Arabidopsis thaliana: one gene and its partners. The protein of the gene in region 1 interacts with the protein of each later gene in a pairwise test. Each region holds a gene or a part of one and is shown in the gene's direction. Other genes may lie near its edges.

Evidence for each region.
Region 2: the proteins of AT3G52070 (region 1) and AT2G01970 interact in a protein complementation assay, tested with the Arabidopsis thaliana proteins (one large-scale study listed by BioGRID).
Region 3: the proteins of AT3G52070 (region 1) and ALE2 interact in a protein complementation assay, tested with the Arabidopsis thaliana proteins (one large-scale study listed by BioGRID).
Region 4: the proteins of AT3G52070 (region 1) and AT5G52050 interact in a protein complementation assay, tested with the Arabidopsis thaliana proteins (one large-scale study listed by BioGRID).

Annotation. Positions count from the first base shown.
Region 1 is NC_003074.8:19,310,726-19,313,774, forward strand, and holds AT3G52070 (RNA/RNP complex-1-interacting phosphatase), read left to right. Parts: upstream 1-1,992; 5' UTR 1,993-2,027; coding exon 2,028-2,372; 3' UTR 2,373-2,499; downstream 2,500-3,049. Other genes in the region: AT3G52060 (core-2/I-branching beta-1,6-N-acetylglucosaminyltransferase family protein), read right to left, coding at 262-1,302; AT3G52075 (uncharacterized protein), read right to left, coding at 2,522-2,695.
Region 2 is NC_003071.7:451,332-456,841, reverse strand, and holds AT2G01970 (Endomembrane protein 70 protein family), read left to right. Parts: upstream 1-1,882; 5' UTR 1,883-2,022; coding exon 2,023-2,174; intron 2,175-2,399; coding exon 2,400-2,440; intron 2,441-2,540; coding exon 2,541-3,126; intron 3,127-3,213; coding exon 3,214-3,351; intron 3,352-3,433; coding exon 3,434-3,590; intron 3,591-3,667; coding exon 3,668-4,152; intron 4,153-4,425; coding exon 4,426-4,645; 3' UTR 4,646-4,984; downstream 4,985-5,510. Other genes in the region: TET14 (tetraspanin14), read right to left, coding at 5,040-5,324.
Region 3 is NC_003071.7:8,755,340-8,761,952, reverse strand, and holds ALE2 (Protein kinase superfamily protein), read left to right. Parts: upstream 1-1,654; 5' UTR 1,655-2,107; coding exon 2,108-2,180; intron 2,181-2,727; coding exon 2,728-2,832; intron 2,833-2,923; coding exon 2,924-3,034; intron 3,035-3,184; coding exon 3,185-3,553; intron 3,554-3,634; coding exon 3,635-3,892; intron 3,893-3,971; coding exon 3,972-4,361; intron 4,362-4,471; coding exon 4,472-4,697; intron 4,698-4,775; coding exon 4,776-5,478; 3' UTR 5,479-6,101; downstream 6,102-6,613. Other genes in the region: RIN13 (RPM1 interacting protein 13), read left to right, coding at 1-625. UniProt on the Arabidopsis thaliana protein: Required during the differentiation of the protoderm into shoots epidermis and cuticle.
Region 4 is NC_003076.8:21,137,032-21,141,403, forward strand, and holds AT5G52050 (MATE efflux family protein), read left to right. Parts: upstream 1-1,671; 5' UTR 1,672-1,901; coding exon 1,902-3,419; 3' UTR 3,420-3,845; downstream 3,846-4,372.

The DNA of each region.
Region 1 (3,049 bases):
TCCCATATCTCTACCTTCCCTAGAGACACACAAAAGCTTAAAAAACACAGCAATTTTCACACACACACACAGAAGTTCATCTTTATTTAGCCACTCTTCTTCGAGCGCCAACACAAGCTTCTTCCTAAACCTTCCTTATGATGATATCTGAAACCTGAACACAATAACAAGAAGATAAGCAAATTGAAACTAAACTCTCAAACTGTATTCATATTTACACATTGAGATTTCAGTGTTATACCTAATTTACTTTCACCGAATTCAATCCCTAAAGATCACAGCATCTGCAATCTCCATAAGCGGTTGCAATGACTCCGGCGTGAATTTTCTGGCGAAGAAATAGTCTAAACTCGAATTAGATCTCCGCAGAGAGTGAATCAGCTGCGGCGAGATCTCAGAGGCATCGTACGTGTGAGGATGACCACCAACACTACCGGTCCAATTAACACGTGTGAGTGTAAAGTGACTACATCCTTGAGGATCCTCAAGAGACAACAAAGTCGGAAAATAATGTTCTTCAGGGTAACAAGATTCAACATCAAGGCATGGTAATTTGAATTTCCTCCATAGCTTTCTCTCTTTGATCACCATTAGAGCATGACGTTTCGCTAATACGAAGAACTGAGATCCAACACGGAAGTCTTGGTACTGGATCTCAGGAAGCATCGCGTCGTCTCCTCTTGCGTTGTATCGTTTCAGAAGGAACGGTTCATCGGAGAGGATCTCGATGAAGCTTTGTTGATGATGATCGGAGAAGAGGTGGTTGTGGATGTAAGAGAAGGAATGGAGAGGGATACAGTGTTGTGAGATTAAAGCGAAATAGAGATTGTTAGGATCGTCGAGGATTGCGTTTGCTAGTAATCGTCGTTCGGCGGAGATTAACGTCGGAGAAGCTCGTGCGGTTCTTCTCGCCGGGATGAACTTAGCGTTGATTGATGAAGAATCGAGAAGAGGAGAGACGGAGGAGGTTGGATCTGCGTGGATGTAAACGTTGTAGAGATCTTGGTGACCTTGGAAGAAGCTTTCCCAGAGAGGTAAGAAGGTTAGATCGGAGTTTGTTAGGAAGAGGAAAGCGATCTTTGGGGGTGGATTTGGAGAGAGGGAGATGAGACGACGGTTGTTGTTGGTGGAGGAAGAGACGACGGCGCGGTGGAAGAGAGAGAGGTCGTCTAGGTCATCGGCGGTGGAAATGAGGGTAGAGGAAGAGAGAAGGATGTGTGGTGAGAGGATGAAGAGGAAGAAGAGAAGAGAAAGAGAGAGGAAGAGAGATAGAGAATAAACGAGTGTAGAAGATGAGAACATCTCTCTGTATACAACAACACAGAATTTCTCTGAGGAAGAAGAAGAAGAAGAAGAAGAAGATTGATTGAAATGAATGAGTTAGAAAAAATTCTGATGTGACAATAAAAAGGAAAAAGGGGAATAATGACGTCAGCAAAATGGGGACACGTGAAATTATTTTTAAAATTATTTGGGACAATCGACACAGTTGCTCTATCGCTATTTGTTTACGTGGGGCTGTTCTCTCTCTATTTATATAATAATGAGATACGGTTTTTTCAGCAACCAGATTTTAAAGTTATCTGATTAAATCTAATAATAGGATAGAGATAGAGTCACAGAGACATGTTGTTGACTTTATGACATTATTTTATTCTTTGCTTATCCACTCAGTCATCATTTATCTCACCAGTCAGACATAATGTGTTGTTGTTGTGAATTTGTAGATGCTTCCGACTATACCTGATTACCTGGCCATTCAGAATCGGTTTGGATCAAAAAATTTGGGTTTTCGGTTTAGAAATCGAAACAAACCGAATTAGTTGAAACGAACCGAATAGAAATTCGGCCAATTTGGTTTTGCATTGGCGTGTACCTTGTGACTACATGTGTGTGTGTTAGATGAGATCTATCCACCCATTTTTCAAATCATTTTTGTCGTTAAGCTATCAAGATTCTGATATTTTCCTGCTCACTTTTGATTCCCAAAACAAAAAACTTTCTTCAATTATTCTATTCATCTTCTCATGGCGGCTCTCTCCACCACCTTCTACTACCACCCACTCTGCACTAACCACCGTACAAAGAGACAAGCCTCAAGCAGACACGGAGTTAGATCTATGAGAGTGATGTCTTGTCGGAAGCAGAAATTACCAGAAGAGAATGAAGGAGTGATCCAGAGAACATTGAGAAGGATGATTTCAGAGGCTGGGAAGATTGGGAAGAATCTGAAGCCAGAGAAGAAGAAAGGAGACGTCAAGGACCTGATGCTTATGAGTCTCTCTTTTGCTGTTTATGTTTATATCTCTCAACTATTGGTTTGTGCTTACTTCTCCTGGCAACATCTCAGCTTCCCCAAATCTTCATGGTAGTAGCTAAGCTAGCTCCTCCTTGTAAATTCTGCACAAATCAGTAATAAGATAAGAAATTCAATTCCGACATAGGAGAATTGAGAGTTGTGATCTTTCACTTTGGTCTTATATAATTGAATTGTTAAGCTTCTCATACCTCTTTATCTGCTTTAACTCCGGCAGAAAAGGCAAACCAACCATTGCGATAACACTATCAACCAGTTAAGGCTCTTTGTTTTAGAGCCGAAAGGAGATGCAAGAGCCTCGGGCAGAGTCGCTGAGTATGCCTTGAAAACCAAAACTTTGACCGTAATTGTTAGAAAGAAAGAGAGATTCCTAACCATTTCGTATTGGCCTCCTCCAATTTATCCTCCTTAAACAGAGAGCCCCATCCATTTTCCTTCTGTGTGCTGCACCAAACCTTTCCTCCATAGTCATATCACTGCGAGCTTTTCCCTGTACAATCCAACCTCTAAGTCAGCTATAAGCAAAGAGCTTGGGATAAAAGCTTGGTTGTGGAGTGTTCAGGTAAGGAAACAAGAATCAGCAAATGATCTTAAAGAAAAAACGTTCCTCCTTTGTTTCATCAAATCCAACAACTTCAGCGTCATCTAACAATTCCGCTATAGATGGAACATTGGGAAAAAGAAGAGTTTCCATCTCTCCTATATGCTAAATTCCCAGCAAACATGCAAGAG
Region 2 (5,510 bases), on another chromosome or scaffold:
TTCAATGTTTATATTTTTTCTGACCAAGAGTATATTAGAACCAGAATTAGATAAATTAATGGAAATATAATGATGACAAAAAAATAATATAAATATAATATATAGTTTGTTTTGGATTTTATAGATTGATGTCATATAGATGTGAATGTGACTATGGTATCTTCACAATGAAATTAGTGCTTAATTTGTGTACAAGAATTTATTGAAATTGAGTTTATTTGTAATAAGTATTCCAAAACCTGGTTTGGCCTTAAAAGGAAAAGAAATATTCGTAGTTGGTTTTTTGACATTTTGGGACATATTTTTCTTATGATTTAATTGATAAGACCTCTTACTGTTGTACTTTTTTGAATAAACAATTGCAAATGTAAATTGGCTATTTTAGAATTAGACGACTAGCCTACCAAAAATACATTTATAATGTGGATTTTGATATGTGTGTGAGTGTGTTTACTTCGTGGAGTTTGATGTGTTTAAGGTTTCGAAAATATTTGAGAATTTGGATTAGCCTGACTCTATTCGGCTGATCCAAAACATTAATCTGATACCTTTCAATTCTTCACGTTAAATTTATAATATTTTTTAAACTTTCAATTATGCTTAGCTGATGCACAACAACATTTTCAATTTCGCATATCAGAATAACACCAATTATCATTTTCATGCTACCCAGAAGCACCTACAAGGTATCAAGTGTGCATGTTAAAAGACTGTTTGGGTTAGTATTGATTAATCGACCAACCGTCGATCCTAATGAAATGCTCAAAGATAGAATCCAACATAAAGAATCTCTATTGGTATTCAAGATTTGCTTATAGAGTAGTGATTGTTAGTTAGTTAGTTTGTTATTCTTTGATTTTCCAATCAGCTTACGAAGATTTTTCAAGAGTAGAGATGCTAACAACATGCATAATAATTTGTCTAATGGTAAATTCTACAATAGGAAAAGAGTTTACATTGATTACTCTATCATTAGTAGTTCAGGGGATAGTAGATGTTTGTTTTGTTCTAAGGCTTATGTTTATGCTCTGGAAAACTGGTTCCAGGCGAGAAGATTCAGAGAGAACTCGTTGATGGATTACATATCATGGTCGCTGATGAGTGTATGATTCGCCACCACCATCAAAGAAGGTGCAAAATCAATAAGTATCAGAGCTGTTACAAAAATAAACTTTATAAATAAATAAAATTATTGTCTGTGTAATTAACATCTTAATTTTATAGTGTTCTTATTTATCTGGTTTGGTTGCAAAAAATTGAGTTTAGTTAAGATAATCAGGTATATAAATTACTACATCATTCATTTTATGTACAAAAAATTTGGTTTATATTCCAATTGATAATACTTTTTACTTGCTTTGCTTTAATCAATTTCATAAACGAGATACTATTGTGAAAAAAAAAAACGAGGCACTATTGATCTTTTTTCTTTTGACCACCTTTTTATTTGTATCTTCATCATCATGATTTTGTTAAAGAGTAAAAAGAACATTACTGATTGTTATAGTCACATGGAATGCAATAAAACTCCTATAAATAGTAGAAAGCACAAGAACGAGAGAATCACTCTACCAATAGAAAATTGCTACTTATTAAAAAAAAAACGACAATTGTAACAAAAAATATCGATTATAGAAAGTTTTATTTGCTTCAGTTTATATCACTTGCCTCTGCCATTCACAAGTTTCTTACGAAACGTATTAAATAATTTAAAATTTTGTGAATTAATACGAATTTTGTTTAGAAGATTTAAGAAAACAACCAAAAATAAAATATATAAAAATAATCATTTCAATTTCTAAAAAAAATATTAAAATGTCGCAGATTTTATTTTCTTACATAATGCTTTTTATTCGCAATATTTTTTCTTAAGCATTTAGTAGAAGAAAATTCGTTAAAAAGAGAGATAAAATAAATAAAAGTAATATAATCGTCCTTTTGCCATAAGCGTTGCTCTCAAAAATATAAAGCAAACTCAGATCTCACGATTTTCTTCTTCCTCTCACATTAACACACATCATCATGAGATTACCAACGACGCTGCTCCTCTTTATCGGAGCTCTCATCTTCTCCGGCGCCGGTACTGTCAGATCCGATGCCTCCGACCACCGTTACAAGGACGGTGACTCCGTTCCTCTCTACGCCAACAAGGTCGGCCCCTTTCACAATCCCAGGTAAATCCAATTCTCTAATCTCAGTTCCTTTGTCGGTAGCTTAGATCTGTGATTCTCTTTGATGAGTGATAAATTGATCGTTGCAAATTTCTGTAGAAGCTTGCGTTGGTATTGAATTTTTGTATCTGACCTTGAAAAAATTCGATTCGTGTTCTTAAAATGTGATAGATCTTCGATTGCATTGTTATATGACTGATTTTTACTTGTGTTTGATGATTGTTGCAGTGAGACGTATCGCTATTTCGATCTCCCCTTTTGTATTCCAGGTACGAGCACGCTCAATGTTGTCTCTGTTATGTGTGGTTTTTCACTTTTTTCGGATTTGTGTATTTTGGTGTCAATATGCATTTGTTTTGGTTTGTGTAGAGGGTGTGAAAGATAAGAAGGAAGCTCTTGGTGAGGTTTTGAATGGGGATAGGCTTGTTAGTGCTCCATACAAGCTTAACTTTAGAGATGAGAAAGACTCAGAGGTGTACTGTAAAAAGAAGCTTAGTAGAGAAGAAGTTGAACACTTTCGAAGAGCTGTTGAAAAAGATTATTACTTTCAGATGTATTATGATGATTTGCCTATTTGGGGATTCATTGGGAAGGTGGACAAAGAGAGCAAATCTGATCCTAGCGAGTTTAAATATTTTCTCTACAAACACATCCAGTTTGAGATTTTGTACAATAAGGATCGGGTGATTGAAATCAATGCTAGAATGGATCCTCATTCGCTTGTGGATCTTACTGAGGATAAGGAAGTCGATGCTGAGTTTATGTACACTGTGAAGTGGAAGGAAACTGAGACTTCTTTTGAGAAAAGAATGGATAAGTATGCTATGTCTTCTTCTCTTCCACATCACTTGGAAATCCACTGGTTCTCCATTATTAACTCCTGCGTCACTGTCCTTCTTTTGACTGGTTTCCTTGCAACCATCCTGATGCGGGTCCTCAAGAATGATTTCATGAAGTAAGTTTTGAATGCTAACTCTTTGTGCTTGACTCACCGATGCACACTTTTGTTTCCAACCATTAACTTTTCCCCTAACTTTCAAAGGTATGCTCAAGATGAGGAAGCTGCTGATGATCAAGAGGAAACCGGATGGAAATACATTCATGGAGATGTCTTCCGGTTCCCAAAGAACAAATCTCTCTTTGCTGCATCTCTTGGTAGCGGTACCCAGTTGTTCACTCTGTAAGTCTCTTTTCAGCCTCCTTCGTTTATCTTTAGTTATTCTTTGCCATTACTAACTGTAATATACCTCATATGTCATCAGGACCATCTTCATTTTCATGCTTTCACTTGTTGGAGTGTTCTATCCATACAACCGTGGAGCACTCTTCACTGCTTTGGTCGTTATCTATGCTCTCACATCTGGAATTGCCGGATACACTGCCTCCTCTTTCTACTGTCAACTCGAAGGAAAGAATTGGGTATGTAAACCCTTTCCCTTTACTCTTTTCAACTTAAAGTGATAAGCTTTTCATTTCTCACCGTTCTTCCTCTTCAGGTGAGAAATTTGCTGCTAACTGGAGGTCTCTTCTGTGGCCCACTATTTCTCACCTTCTGCTTCCTAAACACCGTTGCAATCGCATACAGTGCAACTGCCGCTCTTCCCTTTGGAACCATCATAGTGATCGTCCTCATATGGACACTAGTCACTTCGCCTTTACTTGTGTTGGGTGGTATTGCCGGTAAAAACAGCAAAGCTGAGTTCCAAGCTCCAGTCCGCACCACTAAGTATCCTCGGGAGATCCCGCCACTCCCATGGTACAGGAGTGCTGTACCGCAGATGGCCATGGCTGGATTTCTTCCTTTCAGTGCCATCTACATCGAGCTATATTACATCTTTGCCAGTGTTTGGGGCCATCGTATCTATACCATTTACAGCATCCTCTTCATCGTCTTCATCATCCTGTTGATCGTCACTGCTTTTATAACAGTTGCCCTTACTTACTTCCAACTCGCTGCTGAAGATCATGAATGGTGGTGGAGGTAAATTTTTCCACCCAAGCTGGTTTTTTAATTCGGTTTTTGGTATATGGAATATAGAAAACCAAATGATAATACCAAATACAAATAGCTTAGAATTGCTATGGTTTGTGTTTCGTTTTAGTATCAGTTTCAAACTGATTACTTACGTAGGGTTTCAGTTTGGCTTGATTAGGCACATCTACTAAATCCTTCCGTAGATTTTAAATTCGAATTTGAATTGGATTGGTGATAATAAAATTACATTGTTATAGTTATTAATATTCTTTGTTGCAGATCATTCCTATGTGGTGGATCGACTGGTCTGTTTATATATGCGTACTGCTTATACTACTACTACGCAAGATCAGACATGTCTGGTTTCATGCAAACATCCTTCTTCTTCGGGTACATGGCTTGCATTTGTTACGGTTTCTTCCTCATGCTTGGAACCGTTGGCTTCCGCGCTGCTCTCCTCTTCGTCCGCCACATTTACCGGTCGATTAAATGCGAGTAAAACTGTTGCTGCCAATCACCCTCCCCCTTACGATTTTTGGTAGAACAAAGAAGATGATAATCTGTTCTTAGGTAGATAAAGAAGAAGACTTCTTCGAAGCCAGAAACTGAATACCAAATCGCTCTGTGGTCACATTTTTTTTCCTTTTTGTTAAAATGTTTTGTGGCAGTTTGTTTTCTGTGATATGATTTATAGACGAAACTATGTTTGTTTAGGTGAAGTCTTTCTCTTCTCTACTACTTTAGAGAGTTATCTTCTTTTTTTGGTAATTAATTAAGATAACTTTGTAACCTTTTTTTTATTGATCTATATATATTCTAAAGACGAAAAAATAACAACTCTCTTGAACCAAATCGCTAATCTATTCGATCAAAATCATCTATGAATTTGTGATCTATCTAAACAAAGAGGTGAGGGAAGATAAGAAAACACCGAACTGCCACCATTTGCGCAGCCTTGGAGACTTAATGATCCTAACCTGACAAGTCATACAATCATAGTACAACACACTTAACTCGTGTCTCCACATATCGTAATAATCCTTTATGTCTGCATTGCCACCGTAACGATCATAGATCATTGCCGTTTCCAAAGGTGGTCCTTCACGATTTCTTGTAACCCACAATGTTGCATTGACCGTCTCTAGTTTGCAATTCCCTGGCCGATTGCAGCATCCAGTCTAACACAACAAACAACAAGAACAAAAGATTATGACTTTTTTAAAAATATATCAAGAAAAGATTTTCTCTTTCGTCATATCTTATTAGGATTTAGTGGTATTAAATCTTGCATATCACGGCTTCAAATATTTAAAACAAATTAATATATGTACTTTAAATAAACTAATTTTTCAAAATCTTAATTG
Region 3 (6,613 bases), on another chromosome or scaffold:
TAATCCTTCAAGTGTCAAAGCCAGGCATAGAATCAGGCAACCGATTCCGCACAATCAAGGGTTGCAGAGTCAACCGGCACAGTCATTAAGCACTGTTCGCGACAGCGTGATCCAAAAGGATAGAAGTTCTTATAGGTTTAGCCTACGATCCCGAGTAGCCTCTTCTGCGGGAAATGGTATCAGCATCCGATTTAACAATGCTCAAGTTTCACAATCCAGTCACCATAGCTCTTCCACAGTGGCACCTACATTAAACCCGGAAACGTACACTCAACAACGCAATGTTCGTGATCATTGCACAGCGCTACCTGGTTCTCAGAGCAACGTGTTCACTCGACATGCAGACCAGAACATACGTGGTAGTGGAAATCGTCAGTTTCAGACAAATGTGGATCGGTTTGCTCCGTCCAAAGCTCCTCTTACTGCTGAAGATTCGCATACAGCTACGGTACAACAGCAACCAGGGATTAATGAAAACGTCTTGGAGACCAAACTATCGGAATTTGAGAAATGGCTAATGGAAAATCCTAACCCAACCGGCCCTGTTAGTCCGTTACCTGAACCGGGAAATCAAGACTATGCTAGTACGTTGTCATTTGATTTTGAAACATTTTTGAATGATTGAAAGATTCATAAGGGTAGTTTGTATCTCCGTCCCTAGGTTAACTCTCTTCACTGATTGTATTTTGTAGAGGGAGTGCTGTAGTTTATTACAATCTCGATTGTGTGTATCATTTAATTAGCTGCTACTAGTACATCATAAAATTAAGTCCTAAAAAGTACCTGTTTGCCAATTGACATAAATAATGTTTGTTGATTTGAGTTTTTTAAGGTCAAAAATCAAACATACCATCATTATCACTGCCTGTTTAAATGATTAGGGAGGGGAAAATATCCATGTAATGTAAAAGAAGACAATCAACAATCGAAAAGCGATAGATATAGAAAGAGGCACACACATATGGTCTTGATTAAATTTGATCAAACTTCTATTTTGCCTAATAGACAAATAGTCCAAATTTATCAAAACCGGAAAAACATTGTTATATTTTGGATCAAAATTACTTCTACCATCATTTAGTTAGCTTTTAATATTTTAGAAACAATTGAATTTTTGACCCAAAAAAAGAAACAATGGAAATAACTGATAAAGTCTTCTTAAAAGTATAGGAAATTTTGCCAAGTATATAGTATTAATTTTGGAAACAAACACGAAAATGGAATAGTTTTGAGAGTTGATACTTGTCATTTGTGGAATTATTACTATTACTTTTTAATGTAAAATATTTCGAAAATAAACTTTTAACAAAAGTAAAATCCGAAAATACTTAGTTTCCAAGTTTATAGAAATCAAGCCCAGCCCATTTGGGGTTTTTAATTTTTTTTTTTTTTTTTTTTTAAAAAAAAAAAAAAAAAAAAAATCAAACCCAAAACGATTCCGTTTAGTAGGCTAAAATTCAAGTAAGTCCCGGCCCAATAAGGCAACTAACGCCCAAAAAAGAAACGGTTTTGTCGATGTGACGGTAGCAAACGGCCACCAGTTTTGTCGTTTCGATGTGCGTGGCCACCACGCGCATACGAAACCGCGTCGGTGTTCGCTAACGCCATCATCATCGCCTTTTTTTTTTTTTTTTTTTTGCCTTTCTCCGAAAGCAGTCTCACTACGGCAACACACTACCCTACGCCCCCTTCCCACCATCAGCATTAAATTCTCTCTCTCTCTTCGCTTCTTCTGGTTTCGAATTCACTTTACTCTCTTCGCTTCCAATCTCTCTCTACCACTCTGATACCTTCGCCGGAGAAGAAGCTCTCGTTCTCTCTATCGTCGGAGAAGCTCTCGTTCTCTGCTTCCCTGCTCTGTACAGATCTCGAGCCGCATTTCGTGGATCTGTCAAAATCGCGTTAAAACCTACTCGCTTCTCTCTAACCCTAGGGTTTTTGAATTTTTTTCGGGACGAGGGAGAAATCAATGTCTGTGAAGCTTTGAGGAAGCTATATGGTTACACCTTTGGTTCTGGTTAGTCTTCGTTTTGATCGGCGGAGAGTGTTCGCCGAGGCTTGGTGTCTCCGTTATTGACTAATGGTGGTTTTTGATTTGAGATAAGAGATGCGGAACTTTGCGATGCTTCTGCTGTTAATTCTTCTTCTTCACTCTCTCGCCTCGTTTCCTATATGCTTTGGTATGAACTAGTTAACAAATTTCTTTTCCCCTTTTCAAATTTAGGAAACGATTTTGATAGGAGAAATTAACCTTTAGTTAAGTTGCTCTTACTTTGACAGCTCAAGATTAGTTGGTGGTCTATCTATATTTAGAATTGTTTATTGGATTTAGATATATTTAGAAGCTAATTTTGGTTATGTACAAAGTAAGCAAAAGAGTTTAGATTATTTAAGTTTGGAATCTGTGATTGTGAAGCGTGAGAGTGAAGATCAAGTCCTCACGTTTTGTGCCTTAATTGGCACACAACCTTTTAATAGCTAGAATGCACATAGATCTTACTCTTTCTTTTCTGAGTATCTTGAGGAAATATCGATTTTGTGTGACATTCTCTTGGCCAAATTTTATCCTCTACAGTTGGCATTATACTTTTAAACCCAAGAGAGGAGGATGGAGTATGCATACTATTAGAAACATTCTATTTTTTCGAAACTTTTCACTGCTATGAATATTCGACATGTGTAGAAAGAATCTATAGATGACTTATCAGCTTGCTTTATCATTTGCAGCTCGGTTATTTCCGATGAGTTTGCCATTTACCCGATCAAAGGCGCATCAAATGCATTTCTTTCATCCTTATCTTAATCCATCAGTTGCTCCTACACCTTCACCAGGTCAGTAAGGGAATCCTATTTGTCACCTAAACATAGTGTCATTATGTTTCTGTCTAGGAGTATTCATTGTTCATTGTCTTTCCCTTTTTAGCTTTTTCCCCCAACCCAAGTCGCATTCCACCACTAAGGCACAAGGGTCATCACCGTCATCGTCGCTGGCATTTAAGACGCAATGCCACTGCAGTGTCACCTTCGTCACATGGTAGTTCTTTTGCTTCTTGTTGGTTATCCTGCGTCCTATTATAGTGGCAACGATAATGTTTTATATGAATACTTTTTCTTCAGACTTCAGTTGATAAATCAAGCGTAGTAACTACTTTTTCCTGTGTATTTCCGGCTTTCCTTTTGATAGACTGTCAGCAGACATGTGTGGAGCCTCTCACTTCAACTCCCTTTGGTTCACCTTGTGGTTGTGTCTTCCCCATGAAAGTTCAGCTTCTACTAAGTGTCGCACCTTTTTCTATTTTCCCCGTGACCAACGAGTTAGAAATTGAGGTTGCTGCTGGAACATACTTGGAACAAAGCCAAGTGAAAATAATGGGTGCCAGTGCCGACAGTGAAAATCAAGGGAAAACAGTGGTGGATATTAACCTTGTTCCACTTGGGGAAAAGTTCGACAACACTACAGCAACACTTATTTATCAGAGATTCCGGCACAAGAAAGTACCTCTAAATGAGACTGTTTTTGGTGATTATGAGGTTACGCACATAAGTTATCCAGGTAAACTGATTTCATTCAGATGCAAGTTTCTACTTTTTTTTTGTTTTATTTCAAAGTTTGAACTTCTTAACCTTGCTTCAGGAATTCCTTCTTCTTCGCCAAATGGAGATGTTACTGGAGATGCTCCAGGAGGCCTTCCAATTCCGATCAATGCAACAACTTTTGCCAACAAAAGCCAGGGAATAGGTTTTAGAACGATTGCAATTATTGCGTTGTCAGGTTTTGTCCTCATTCTGGTTTTGGTTGGAGCTATTTCTATAATCGTGAAATGGAAGAAAATTGGGAAGTCATCTAATGCTGTTGGTCCGGCTTTGGCTCCATCGATTAACAAAAGGCCTGGTAATTTTCACCCTCTGACTTCTTAACGCTTCTATAGCTTTAAAAGAACCTGTTTCTGAAAAATTTATTCGCCTTGCAGGTGCTGGATCTATGTTTTCCAGTAGCGCCAGAAGCTCAGGCTCAGATTCTTTGATGTCTTCCATGGCTACATGTGCTTTATCAGTTAAGACCTTCACACTCTCCGAGCTTGAGAAGGCTACTGATAGATTCAGTGCCAAGAGGGTTTTGGGCGAGGGCGGATTTGGTCGTGTTTATCAGGGGAGTATGGAAGATGGAACTGAGGTTGCAGTGAAACTGCTAACTAGGGACAATCAGAATCGAGACCGTGAATTTATTGCCGAAGTCGAGATGCTAAGCCGTTTGCACCACCGCAATCTTGTGAAACTGATTGGAATATGCATTGAAGGTCGTACACGTTGCTTGATTTATGAGCTCGTCCACAATGGGAGTGTTGAGTCCCACTTACACGGTGACATATTCTTTTCTCTGCACTTTTAATAACAATATATCCCAATTATATCCATCACTTCTCGTTGCATCACCACCTAAAACCTGGCTTTCCGGTTGTTGACAAAACAGAAGGAACGCTTGATTGGGATGCGCGGTTGAAGATTGCACTTGGAGCAGCGAGAGGACTGGCTTATCTCCATGAAGATTCAAATCCCCGAGTAATCCACCGTGATTTCAAGGCTAGCAATGTTCTCCTAGAAGATGACTTTACCCCAAAAGTCTCAGACTTTGGACTGGCAAGAGAAGCAACCGAAGGAAGTCAACATATTTCAACTCGAGTCATGGGGACCTTTGGGTAAAATTTCTTTCCAACTCAAATATGATGAATACAGACACTCTGGACTTACAGTGACTACCCTGGAAATAATTTCAGGTACGTGGCTCCTGAGTATGCAATGACGGGGCATCTCCTTGTTAAAAGCGATGTCTATAGTTATGGTGTAGTTCTACTAGAGCTTCTAACCGGTAGAAGACCAGTAGACATGTCTCAACCTTCGGGAGAGGAAAACCTTGTGACATGGGCGAGACCCTTACTAGCCAACAGAGAGGGCCTGGAGCAACTGGTGGACCCTGCATTGGCTGGAACCTACAACTTTGATGACATGGCGAAAGTGGCTGCGATTGCCTCCATGTGCGTCCACCAAGAGGTCTCACACAGACCATTCATGGGTGAAGTTGTGCAGGCACTAAAACTTATATACAACGATGCAGATGAGACCTGTGGTGATTATTGCAGCCAAAAGGACTCATCAGTACCAGACTCTGCTGACTTCAAAGGCGATCTGGCTCCTTCGGATAGCAGCTGGTGGAATTTGACACCTCGGTTAAGGTATGGTCAAGCTTCGTCGTTCATAACAATGGATTATAGCTCAGGACCACTAGAGGACATGGAGAACCGGCCTCACTCTGCCTCTAGCATTCCAAGAGTAGGAGGTCTTATTCTACCAAACAGATCAGGTCCGTTAAGACCCATGCGTAGTAGAAGAAACTTCTTTAGACTGAGAGGAAGCATGAGCGAACACGGTGGACCGTCGTCGTCTAGACATCTCTGGTCCGGCAATGGTGACTGGCTCTGAGAAACCAGAAAATGTACAGTGAAGAAAAGGGAAAAGGAGGCTCACAAACTCTTGAGCTGCATGGTTAGGTTCTGGTTAATCCGGCCAGGTTCGGTTCATCTGGGTAAAGATTTCCGGTTTGATTTCTTTTAGGAGCTGTTTGTTGTTATGATTATCCTCAATAGAGATTTAATTGTTTGTTTTTGCGAGGATGCAAAAGCACAGGGAGGGTTGTATTTTGAAGGACGCCTGTATTTAGTTCTCTCCTTTTCTCTCTCACCCACAAAAAAACATTTTTATATATTTTATTTTAGTGAAGTTAGTAATTACCTAATTTTTTTTAGTTTTTCAAGTTCCTAAGAAATTTGGCTTTTGGTCATCGTTGTTAAGTTTCCGGTTTTCTGAATTTACATCCGAAATATTTTTTGGTTAAATAAAATTCTGGCTTGAGAGTAATTGGCTGGTGAATGGTAACAAGTCACTTGGTCAAAGCTGTTGTAATTCTTTTCTAATTTCTAGTATCTTCTGTAGATTGGACACAATGACATGGATTGTTGATCTTTAAAGTCGTAGAGTATAATTTGATATGTTTGTCTTTCTTCCTCCATATCTTCTTAATTCCTCCTTCCACTTCAGCCAAACCGAAGCTTGCTTTCGAGTTTCTGAGTCTTCTTCATTTTGTTATACAACACAGTCTAAAGAAAGAAAATCTGTAGGCCCAATAAACACAAAAATCGATTTATGGGCTAAGCAAACAACGGTCACAGTGGCTGAGTAAACGGAAGAGAAAAAAATATTTTAAAATTTTGAATTTAAAATTAATAAGGTCTTATTGGGCCTACATTATGAAACCTATCTAATCTCTCGAGATATAACAGTTGAGGACAAAACGCTAAAATCCGTTTGCGTTTGGTTTATATTGGCAAAAGCAAAATAATTTTTAATCGAGGAATATGTAGGAACGTCCGATTTAAGTATCTGACTGATCAGATCAACGTGACCAAACGAACCATGAAATGAATGCTACTGGAACCCAAAGTAAAGAACAAAGAAACTAGAATTGCTAGTTAGTATTCATAATATTAATAGTTAGTTTTTTAAGAAGTTAATTTTTTTTAATTGCTAAATATTTTTAATCAATAGTTAGTTTTTTTTC
Region 4 (4,372 bases), on another chromosome or scaffold:
TACAGTAGAAACATCATTAAATAGCATTCAAAATGAATAAAATTTGTAACAGTTAGTTCTTGTGTTAGTTTATGTATAGAAATTTTAGCGAAGTATAGTTGTTGACCCAAAAAAAATGTAGGAACATATATAGTTTTCTTTGGTCCCAAAACGAGTTTATTTTTTGTTCTTCAGTGTTGAACACTATTTTGCTCGAACATGTCTGGTCAACGTCCGACCAGCCAATTCCACTTCATAGTTTGCATATTAACGAACTTCCATCTTTTTGCTGATTACAGCTTTCATTATACCGTTTAGATTTTTCTTTTTTTGCCTAAATAAAAAAATATGACCCTAAACATTCGTAATTAATAGAAAACATTAAATAAGTACGATACAAAAGACTGAATCTCTATAATAATAGATTGAGACCATATTCTTGTGAGATAAATAAAAGATTGAGACCATATTCTTGTGACAATTGGTATACAATTAGGTTACAAATATTCTAATCCAAATTTAATTTCGAGAACATAATCGTGTGAGTAACGATAAACAATTTCATTTTGTTTACAAAGATATATGATATATTGCACTTTTTAAAATCTAATATGCTTACTTTTTTGAGCTGTCATTAATCCCCAAACTCCACTTTGGGATTTTTTTAAAAAGTCTAATTCAACGCGTGGGGCACACCGTGTGTAAACTTCGACTTTGAAAAGTTATAAACAGAAAATGATGTTTTTTAAAAAAACAGGGAAAAAAAGAGAAGTTTCTATTTGAAATAGGTTCAAAACCCACTGGCCAAGTACTTTGTTAGTGGCATGTTTATCATGAGAATATATTTGACCCGTCCCTTGTTTCAGTTTTGCTATTACGTTCCGTGTCAGTTAATTTAAAACTCTAATCATATCTTATTTGATTAAAGAATATAGTGATGATGAAAAGTTATATTTTGTGTACTTGAATGTTTGAGTTGGGCCTCGTCTATCATATGGCAATATCTCCTTTAAGTGTGTGAACGTAAATTACCAATTTCAAGGTCCTCCTCTTAACGTAAATTATCCCAGCTCTCAGGGTTTTTCAGCAAGGGAATAATATAACAATCTAATTAGTCAAAAATTGGATCAAGTGCTAGTAAATTATGCTTGGTTTACTAATCTTTCCTCATTCTTTTTTCCCCATTTTGATTTATGAGGATCACGTTTAATGTAAGGTTTAAATTTCTCAAACCAGAGCTGGTTGTCATCGTTTAAATGAATCTATATGCATGTATTCTATTCCATTAGAAATTATACACACGTAGTTAACTGTAATTAGCTATAGTTAAATCCGTACACACCGTTTTTTCCAGTTTGAATCAGTATAGTGATACATGATATAAGTATATAACATGCGTATAATCAACATACATGATTTAGACAAAATATATTATTATTCTAATTTTTGTCATATAGATTTTGATTCACATTATAAACTGTATATATTGACAAGAAAAAAAAAACATTTGACAAAAGAAGAAAATAATAAACATTTTTTGAAATCATGATTTTGAGGTGATAGTCTATTTATACTAATACTAATGATACTATGTGTCAATGCATCACTAATACATCTTCAGATTGAGTAGAAACCGTGTATATGGATTTAACTCTAGTTAAACAACAAGAACATACAAATTTGAATGTAATAAGCGTGTAACCATTTGACTTGAAAATAAAATACATATGACCAAATTGAAAATAATAATATTAAAATCCAGTGCAACGAAAAAAATAATATGTTAAAACAATAAAACCCACTCACTACTTTCTCTATATAAAGCCAAATGCTTCAACCAATCTTCTTCACACCTACAAATCTTCTTCTTCTCTCTCTCTCCCTCTTCCTCTGTCACACAGATATTGACAAAAACAAAAAGAATGAGTCAATCAAATCGTGTCAGAGACGAAGTTACATTACCTTTACTCCAAAAAACCTCTCATCTGAAAAATCACTCCTCTGTTCTCTCTGTTTTCCTAAATGAAGCAATCTCAATCTGCAAAATCTCTTACCCATTGGTCCTCACTGGTCTCTTCCTCTACGTTCGCTCCTTCGTCTCTCTGTCTTTCCTCGGTGGTCTCGGTGACGCCACTCTCGCCGGTGGCTCCCTCGCCGCCGCATTTGCAAACATCACCGGATACTCTCTTTTCTCCGGTTTAACCATGGGCGTTGAGTCTATCTGTTCACAAGCCTTTGGAGCCAGACGCTATAACTACGTCTGCGCGAGTGTCAAGAGAGGAATCATCCTCCTTCTCGTCACTTCTCTCCCTGTTACACTTCTTTGGATGAATATGGAGAAGATTCTTCTAATCTTGAAACAGGACAAGAAGCTCGCGTCCGAAGCGCACATCTTTTTGCTTTACTCTGTTCCAGATCTTGTCGCTCAATCTTTCTTACACCCATTAAGAGTTTATCTTCGGACTCAGTCAAAGACTCTTCCTTTATCAATCTGTACAGTGATCGCGAGTTTTCTTCACTTGCCAATCACGTTCTTCCTTGTAAGTTACCTCGGTTTGGGGATTAAAGGAATCGCTTTGAGTGGTGTTGTGTCTAATTTCAACCTTGTCGCTTTCCTCTTTCTCTACATCTGTTTCTTCGAAGACAAGCTAAGTGTTAATGAGGACGAGAAGATAACAGAGGAGACATGTGAAGATAGTGTGAGAGAATGGAAGAAACTACTCTGTCTTGCGATACCAAGTTGTATATCGGTTTGTCTTGAGTGGTGGTGCTATGAGATTATGATTTTGCTTTGTGGGTTTCTCTTAGACCCTAAAGCAAGTGTTGCTTCAATGGGAATTCTCATCCAAATCACTTCTCTTGTGTACATTTTCCCTCATTCCTTGAGTTTAGGAGTCTCCACCCGGGTCGGAAACGAGCTTGGTTCTAACCAGCCAAAAAGAGCGAGAAGAGCAGCCATTGTTGGACTTGGTCTCAGCATCGCCCTAGGGTTTACGGCTTTCGCGTTTACTGTCTCGGTTAGAAACACATGGGCGATGTTTTTCACTGATGACAAAGAAATCATGAAGTTGACTGCCATGGCTCTGCCAATCGTTGGTCTATGTGAGCTCGGGAACTGCCCGCAAACTACGGGATGCGGTGTTCTCAGAGGCTCCGCGAGGCCGAAGATCGGAGCTAATATTAATGGAGTGGCGTTTTACGCGGTTGGCATTCCGGTTGGAGCAGTTTTGGCGTTTTGGTTTGGGTTTGGATTTAAGGGACTTTGGCTTGGGATGCTTGCGGCGCAGATCACGTGTGTGATTGGTATGATGGCGGCGACGTGTAGGACCGATTGGGAACTTGAGGCGGAAAGGGCTAAGGTGCTCACAACGGCGGTGGATTGTGGCAGTAGTGACGACGACGCCAAGGAGGATATGGAGGCTGGGATGGTTGATAAGTAGGGAGGAATGAGTCATGAGGAGGTCTTTAACAAAAACAAATTGACTTTGTTTTGAATTAGTTGATAACTTTTTTCTTTTATTGAGAAGAGATTCGTTGGAGGATTAATGTAAATTTTGTAGTGTAATGATAACACAATCTAGAGATTCGTCGTTGTATTCAAGGTTTTTAAATTCATAAGGTCAAATTTTGCTCAAATCGCTTAAACCTTTCTTTATTCGACAGAATTCAGTTACATTGTATGTTTTGTTTAGTGTAACGATTTTTTTGGACGCAGAATAAATCTTGAGAAAATAAATAAACTAACCATTGACCTTACTGAAGAAAATCAATAACCATGGGATTGTGGGTGTCTTTGTTAATTCAATCAATATAACAAACTAAAGTAGCACATGCGGACGAAATGTAAAAATAATGGGGGATTTTTTTTTTTAATATGCATAAATAATTATATAACTATATTTAAATAACTGCAAATAAGGTGTGTACAAGGAATTAAATTCACATATGTATTATAACCATAGTCGACAATTTCAAATATACATGTTTGATTAATTAGCTTCTAGTGATGCTTCGAGGCAAAGTATATCCCTCTATGTGATAGATCATTTACACATCAATTTCTTCCGTGGTAAAATAAAATAGATAAAACCTTTGCGATTATTAAAAAAGCCATAACTATGGGATCATGGTTAGTTTGTGTTTTCTTTTACTTTGGAAACTCCTGATTTAAATAGAAAAACATTTAACATAAAAGAAAAAGCCTTTATTTACACACAGAAGTTTAGCCAATCACTTACTTCTTTCCAAATGCTGCTCACAAAAATAAGTTTTTTCATATTTTCATTAGGATAACGTCAAAAATATCATTTATTTATTTAATAAATCTTTTATCGCTAATTTTATTTTCTATTTTTTATCTTTTTAATATCGTTTATCGTTACATATAATAACT